2 linked regions of the Nothobranchius furzeri genome follow. The protein of the gene in region 1 interacts with the protein of each later gene in a biochemical or structural test. Links are inferred from orthologs where the notes say so. Each region holds a gene or a part of one and is shown in the gene's direction. Other genes may lie near its edges.

Evidence for each region.
Region 2: of the proteins of ehmt2 (region 1) and lig1, one has a biochemical effect on the other in vitro, tested with the Homo sapiens proteins (3 studies listed by BioGRID). The link is inferred for Nothobranchius furzeri from reciprocal best matches to the Homo sapiens genes EHMT2 and LIG1.

What each region holds. Positions count from the first base shown.
Region 1 is NC_091759.1:8,513,350-8,517,171, forward strand, and holds part of ehmt2 (histone-lysine N-methyltransferase EHMT2), read left to right. Parts: intron 1-26; coding exon 27-170; intron 171-330; coding exon 331-626; intron 627-712; coding exon 713-779; intron 780-1,199; coding exon 1,200-1,282; intron 1,283-3,822. UniProt on the Homo sapiens protein: Histone methyltransferase that specifically mono- and dimethylates 'Lys-9' of histone H3 (H3K9me1 and H3K9me2, respectively) in euchromatin.
Region 2 is NC_091751.1:40,307,595-40,311,416, forward strand, and holds part of lig1 (DNA ligase 1), read left to right. Parts: intron 1-982; coding exon 983-1,157; intron 1,158-3,645; coding exon 3,646-3,802; intron 3,803-3,822.

The sequences.
Region 1 (3,822 bases):
AATAACTTGTTTTGAATGTTTTTTAGATGATGCTGCCAGCATTACAGATCCAGTGGATGGTGTGTCGTTGGAGTTGATGACCAGTCATCCTGAGAAGGAGACTTCCAGCGCTGCTGAGGATGGAAGTCAGCGCTCTCCTGCTTCCTCCCCACCTAACAAACCTGCTGCAGGTGAAACTCAAAACCAGTCTTTGACTAAGCTCCTGACTTAATCAGGTTCTGAAGAGAATTATTAAAATTTGACTGTTTTTTTAACGTAGTGATCGCTTAGTTTAATCTTTAGTAACATGTTTTTTCATCTTCAGTAACAGTTTGTATCTCTTCTTAACAGGTCACGCAGCAAAGTCCATTTCCTCAATGTCATCTTATCCTTCCACCTCTTCATTTTTTTCCCCTGGTCGGGCAAAGATGAGCGTTTCCGGGCCGTCTTCTTGTAAATCCGTCCTCCCACCTGGCCCTTCCTCCTCTTCCTCTTCTTCATCCTCCTCCTCCTCCTCCTCCTCCTCCTCTTCTTCCTCCTCCTCTTCCTCTTCATCTGGCTCAGCTTCGTTGACACCTTCTGTCTCCCCGAGTCCACACAAGATCCACCGGGCCCGTAAGACCATGAACAGGCCTTCACCCGGCCAAGTAATGACTTCTGTTACACATTTTTATTCCCACAATTGTTTGTTGTTTTACTTTTTCTGAAAGGTTAGCATTTTTTTATTCGACAGGTGAGTTACGCTGAGACTCCTGCTACGTCGGGTTCCTCCACCTGCTTCTCTACTGACTCTGAAACAGGTAAGTTCTAAACTTCGATCATATTTACTCCTCCGATTGTTCTCCAGCACTCGTAATTACAGGTCCTCTTCTACTGTGTGGTTTTTAAATTAATTCAATGTACGCCGATCACTTCAGCTGGTTTTTGGATTGTTCGTACCGACCTGCAGCTTTTGGTTGAATCAGAAAACTAGTTTTCATGCAGAAGTCTCAGTTGGCACCACTCTGCTCAGGTGTTGCATGGCAGAATGAGCCAATCTTTGCCTCCTGATTCGGCTATATCTCTTAAACACATCGTTGCAACACCAACATGTCTTTTAAAACTCAGAAAATGCTCCTGAAATCTTGTTTTCCATGTAAGTTTGACTGTTTAAAAAACTAAAAAGGCTTTTTTTTCTCTTATAACTGTCACGCTTTGTGTTGTTTTTCTGTTTCCACCAGCTGCTAGAAAGAGAAAACTGGGTCATGTATCAGAGAGTAAATCTGAGAAGGGCGACAGCGTTTCAGAAAAAGGCCAAACTGTGGTAAGTTGATGTCTTCGTGTTTGATTTACTGGGGGGGGGCCGTAAGCATTTGAACACCTGAGGAATCGGCAGAATTCTGGCTCAAAGACATTTTACTCTAACTTCAAAGTCCACCTCTACTCCACATATTAATCTAAACTGGCATCACCTGTCTAAGCTTCTTAAGCACATCTGTCCACCTCACAGTCAGTCAGTCAGACTCCCAACTACTAACCATGGGCAAGACCAAAGAGCTGTCAAAAGACACCAGAGACAAAGTTGTGGACCTCCATAAGGCTGGAAAGAGGTACGGGGCAATTGCTGGGCAGGTTGGTGAAAATAGATCAACTGTTGGAGCAATTGTTAGAAAATTCAATTCAAGTTTATTTATACAGCGCCAAATCACAAGAGTTGTCTCAAGGCACTTCACATAATAAAGCATTCCAACACAGGCCAGGGGCCTCATTTATCAAGCTTGCTTACGCACAAAACGGGGTCGGAAAACTGCGTAAGCAACTTTCCACGCAAACTTTGGGATTTATGAAGGAAAACTTAGCGGAAAAATGTGCGCAACTTTAAGTTGACTAAGGACCTGGCTTACGCACATGTTGGACATGGAGAGCACCTGCAGTGCTGCTGCTGAGAAGGATAAAATTATGAAATCCTGCATTATTATCACTTGTACTGCTTCGTTTTCACACAGAACAAGACACCCCACATGCACACACATGCGCGTGCACACACGAGCTCGCGCACACACACACAGCCTGAAGTGCAGAATACGGAATGCAGAATATCAGCAGGGGGACAGATTGAGGCAGAATGTCGTGCGTCTGTGACAGTGTGTGTGTCTCGTCACTGTGATAAGATTGATCATGTGCCCTGGCTACTTGGACAAGAGAGATTACTGTTTGGCTGACTGGTTAGCGCGTGTGACTTTCACTCGGGAGTCGGGATCGACTCCTGTTTGGATCATTTTTTTATATCCGCCACAGGAACTCATCATTAAGCTCCTCGTGATTTTTATCTTGAAAGGCGCTATAGAAATGATATTTTCTCCTTCTTCTTGACGGCTTCAGCAACACTGTGCCACTCCGTGGATTTTCTCTTATTTGTTTTGCAAAAGCACTTCCTTTCATTTCGCCACCTCAACTTCTACTTGTGAAATTGGGCTTCCTTGGTCTGCCTTGATCTACGGTCGCCATGTCATTGGCGGAGCACTGCAACAAGCCGGCTTATGTATATGCATGAGATCCACAAGGCACTTTGCATTGAATATTTATGGCAGTAAGTGGGTGTGATGAGGGCGGGATGTGACCAAAAAGCAGCTGAGAACATTTGTAGATAGTTTCCGATTTATGGAGCAGAGATTGCGTGCAGCTGTGCGTACTCCATGTTTGATAGATCACAAACCTACTTGGTGTAAGTACTTTTTTTTTTTTTTTTTGCTGAGCTTAAGTACGGTTTTAGTAAGGATTCTACTCAATGTTTGATAAATGAGTCCCCAGTTCATTAAGCCAATCAGAAAAAAGTTTCCTATATAAGGAACCCAGCTAATTGCATTGAGTCACTGACGCTACAGCGATCCTCATACTAAGCAAGCATGCAGCGACAGTGGAGAAGAAAACTCCCTTTTAACAGGAAGAAACCTCCAGAGGATCCTGGCTCAGTATAAGCAGCCATCCTCCACGACTCACTGGGGATCAAGAAGATAGAGCAGACACACACACACACACACACACACACACACACACACACACACACACACACCAAGTAATGTTTCCATGGTTACATTGTGATCCTAGTGATTCTATAATTAAACGGGTAAACTAGTAGTAGCACATTCTATGTCAAAGAAAGTAAAATGTTATTATCAGGAGAGGGAGAATGTTTAAGTGGTTAGCAGCAGTGTGCTAGACGATGGCCCCCTCCATGAGGGCACCACAGCTCAGCAGAACATCGATGTAGCTTCTTCTGGGGAGAAAAACACTTAGAGAGAAAATAAAGTTAACAGCTGAAACAGCAGGAAATAATACAGTTAAAGAGCAGATTGTAGAAGAAAGTAGTCGAGTGTGGAAAGTGGTCAGTGTGTCCTCCAGCAGTCTAAGCCTATAGCAGCATAACTACAGAGCTAACTCTGGATAACCTAGCCTTTTACCCCCAAATTCCACTACCTCCGCTCCGCTCCGGTCCGGTCCGCCCCCGCCTTCCGCAGCCGCTCGCTTCCGAACTCAATTTTTACTGGTACCCGCTCTACAACGGCTCCGCTCCGGTGCGGAGACCTGAGGTGGGCAAACAAGCATGCGCAGGATTTTCGAGATCTTGCGATACAGTCCGAGCAATAAACGCGGAAGTTAGATCCAAACACCCGTTGTGTGGGAGAAGCATCAAAATGAACTGTTTAATCTGCCCATCATTTGTGTTGAGAGATCAGCAGTGTTTGGATCAACAAAGTGTGACTACTTTGATAGTAGAAACTGTATTTATGGCTTACTTTTGTGCATTTAAACTTCAGCTGCCACTGATAGTTGTTAAAAGTTGTTAAACCTGTGCATATGAAA
Region 2 (3,822 bases), on another chromosome or scaffold:
ACGGGTATGGTCTGAAACAAAAGTTGTCCACTAGATGGGGCTGTGACATGTTCCGTGTTGAGTCACATTGTGGTACAGCTTCTTAAAGGGACATGACTGTCATCCGCCTACACACATTTTCAGTTTTTATTATCACATTTATTGACATGAGAAAAACGATATTGGTAAGAGCCAGAAATTCAATAATGATACATTTAGGATTTATTGCCCAGCCCTACTTAAACAACCTTAAACAAGCTGTTTTTGCCTGAAAGCCCTCCAACGTGGCTGAGTAACAACAATAACAGAAAGACTAGTGGGACAAACCTCCTCCACTCGTTACCAGTTACCACAAACACTGCTGAGGGGTTTAAAACTGGCCATTTAATTTAAGGTTCAGCTAGTTGTCAACATCAGATCTGAGACACACAGAGCAGGATCACTGCTGCCATCCAGTCTTTACTCTGACACTTGAGTTTCTCGTATTTGTGTGACCGGCTGTGGATGGTCCGACTGGTTCATCTGAGGATGTAAATGGTTGTTTTATTCCGACTGGTTCCTGCCTGATGGGTGGCCCGTCTCCGCTGAGAAGGGATGGTTCTGTGGTAAATCAGCTCATTAGCGTGTGGAGGATGCAGCGAGTGACAGACCCGCGCTGATGAGTAAAACTTTTTAGTCGAGTCATTAACTGTCAGAAGACGAGAACTTGCGTTTCTCATTTCTGCTTTGATGATAAAGTGTTCATTATCTCCAGACTGTATAATCTTTTAAAGCTCGTCTTAAAACTGGCTTTTAATTGACTCGCCTTTATGCAACGTTCCTCTCATCATTGCTTTGACCTCTTTGTTTTATGACTCCATCTTTATTGTGTTTTACTGCTTTTGCTGTAGACCTTCCCTTTTATTTTTAATGTTTTTAACTTGGCGCGCTGTCAACGAGCTCCTCAACAACTCCATGAATCAGGCTTCGATTCCGAGTCTCAACGACGTGTGTGTGTTTTCAGGCCCGTCAAGAGTCCCCTCAAGGTGCAGAACGGTGTCCAGGAAGCTGATTCGCCCATCAAGAAGGTTGCCAAACGCAGCCGTCAAATCCTGGACAGCGATGAGGACGAGGCCACAGTCGTTAAAGAACAAGCTGCCACCAAAGAACACGAAGACAAAGAAGCGAAATCAGAGAAGGTAAAAGACACATTTAGTCTAATTATAGTCGCTGTAATTAAGAGCTCCTCTAGGCTTATCGTCGCCTGGTGTTTATTTAGTGATGTGAAACCAGTCACACACACCGGGCCAGCCAGTGTTGGAGACATTTATCAATAAGCCAGTTAATGAAAAGAGCTCTGGCTGTCGCTCAACCTCCTGTTATTTGATGAACACTCCTCTTAACCGCCTTGCTCGCTCTGTTTGTGACGTGTCAGCAATCATTTATGTTTTTCTCTTTGAGGGAAGAGACCGTGATGGATGCGTGGGGATGTCGGAGTGACCCACCTTCCCTCCTTGTTGATGTGTGGCCAGCTGGTTGTAATACATCCCCTCTTGGCAGCAGAGCCTCTCCACTTGAATTAAATGTTGGGCCTGTGTTGACAGTTAATTATTCATCTGTAAAACGTTAATAACACCTTTCTAATTCCACCAGAAGCCTTTGCAAATGGTTCACTGATCATCAGTGCTGTTGGCAGCACCTTATTTGTCGATGATTTTGAACTAAAATAACAGAAATGATCCTAGGCGGGTTTTCCCACGAGCATTCGCTGATCGCCAACCTGTAGCTTCTGGAAATGGACAAAAAGAGTTTGTTTAAAAATCCTGTTTAAATCTGGATGTGGGGTCGGTTGGTTCGCTGGAGTTTTTGACAATTAAAATTGCGCCCACATTTTCAAAGATAAACACATTTCTTTTAACAACGGTAGTTTCTGCATCTATACTGCTCCGCTTCAGCTCTCTCCCCCCTCCCCATGCGCAGTGCGCCTGCAGCCTCTCAGAGTTCCTGCTGCTCTAAACATTAAAATAATTATTTCATTTTCTGTTCCTCACTTCTGATGACCTTCAATGGTGTCTGTTTGTTGCAACCACCATGTACAAAAACTGACTTGTTTTTATTTGACTATTTTTCTGTCCTGTATCTGTTTATTATCTTCCTGCATTTCCTCTCAATCCTAAAGAAAAACTGCTACCTGGGTTCATATATATTCACCTTATGAGTTACATTTGAACTGCAGTTCTAAAAGATCTACCGACCGCAAAAACAGCGGAGTGCCGCTGTTCGCCGGCCGCATCAGTGAGGTGCATCACCGGGGGACAAAACAGGTGATGCGCCCTGCTCCACAGCAGCGAAACGCATCAGGCACAAAAAAAGACAGAAACATTAAAGGACATGAGCCGACATAAACAATCGCGTGTTAAATTAGTTTTTGAGGTGGTGACACCTGATTTGATAATGTTACTGTGGCGGTGCGCAGGACGCAGATGTCTGGAGCGCGTCAACGATCAGAGCTTTGCATGCGCAAGCTGGTTAAGGTTAGGATGGGGTGAGGGGAATGTTAAATTGCAGGAGGGTAAACATCACAATTTGTTGGTGTCAGTACTGACGCTCTGGCACAGCTCGTCGCCTCCCGACATGCAGGAGCTTGTCACCTGCTGTCTTTTCCGAGGACTGGATCTTGCCGGTCATTATCACGTGACAGCGACTAGTCGATGACAGGCATAAAAAGTCACTACAGAGCAGTGAAGTCGACTAATTCATACAACCCCTAGTGCCTCATATCTCTTTGCCCAATATATGTGGATCCCTTGGCTGAAGAGCACCAGATAAAAATCGTTTACACCCCTGCAGCACTTCCAGCATTTTTCCTATTTTCATATCTCCCAGGTGTTGACTTTTGCTAATTATTGTAGGTTGTTTAGTAATCAGAAGGTTTCCTGTTCCTTTCCTGGGAATGCTGCAGTTGTGTCCTTGGGCAAGGCACTTAACCCGACTTGCCTGTGTCGGTGGTGGTCAGAGGGGCGGTGGTGCGAAATGGCAGGTTGGCCTCAGTCAGACCTCCCCAGGGCAGCTTTGGTTATGATGTAGTTACCATCACCTGCAGACTAGTGGGTTCTCTGTGAAGCGCCAATATGAATCCAATCCATTATTATGATTATTGAAGAGGTGTTTCACTGAAAACAATATTTTTTAAATCTGATATCTGATTCTAATGAGTAACTCTGAGTTTAACATGCAGGCCGAACATGAAAATAGTCTCCTACACCTATCTGCTGCATTAGCTTCTGATAGGAAACCCCGACAGATCTATGTCACACTGTCACTTACATTGACCACGTGACGGGACGCAAGACCCAGTGCCTCCCTGCTTGACACTCAGCTATATGGAGTTGGATTGGGGGGTAAAAGCACCAAAACGTTCCTGAGTCCAGCTCGCCGCTCCCCACGGGGATGGGTTAGATGCAGAGATGTAATTTCACCAGTGTGTGATGGTAACTATGGGACTTGAGTTAGAACTGGTGTCACATGCATAAGATCTGAGTGAGAGAATAAAGCAACAGAGTTCAGTTTGAATCCTGAACAGGGTGAAAGCAGGTCTGGTGAGAAGTTTCGGACTCGAGTGAAACTTTAAAGGGCTTTACGGTTTAAACGCTAATAAATGGACACAAGCTTCTGCTTCTCTTCCAGAGTGACCATGTGTTGAAGGAGGTTTCCACCCCCCTGTCTCCACCAGCTGCAACTCAGTCCCCCGTTACCCCGGCAACCCCAGCCTCTTCAACATCCTCTGGGTCTCCCAGCACCCCCAGTTCCATCTCTCCATCTGGAATCATCAAACGCAAAACTGGTCAGTCACGTTCGATTCCC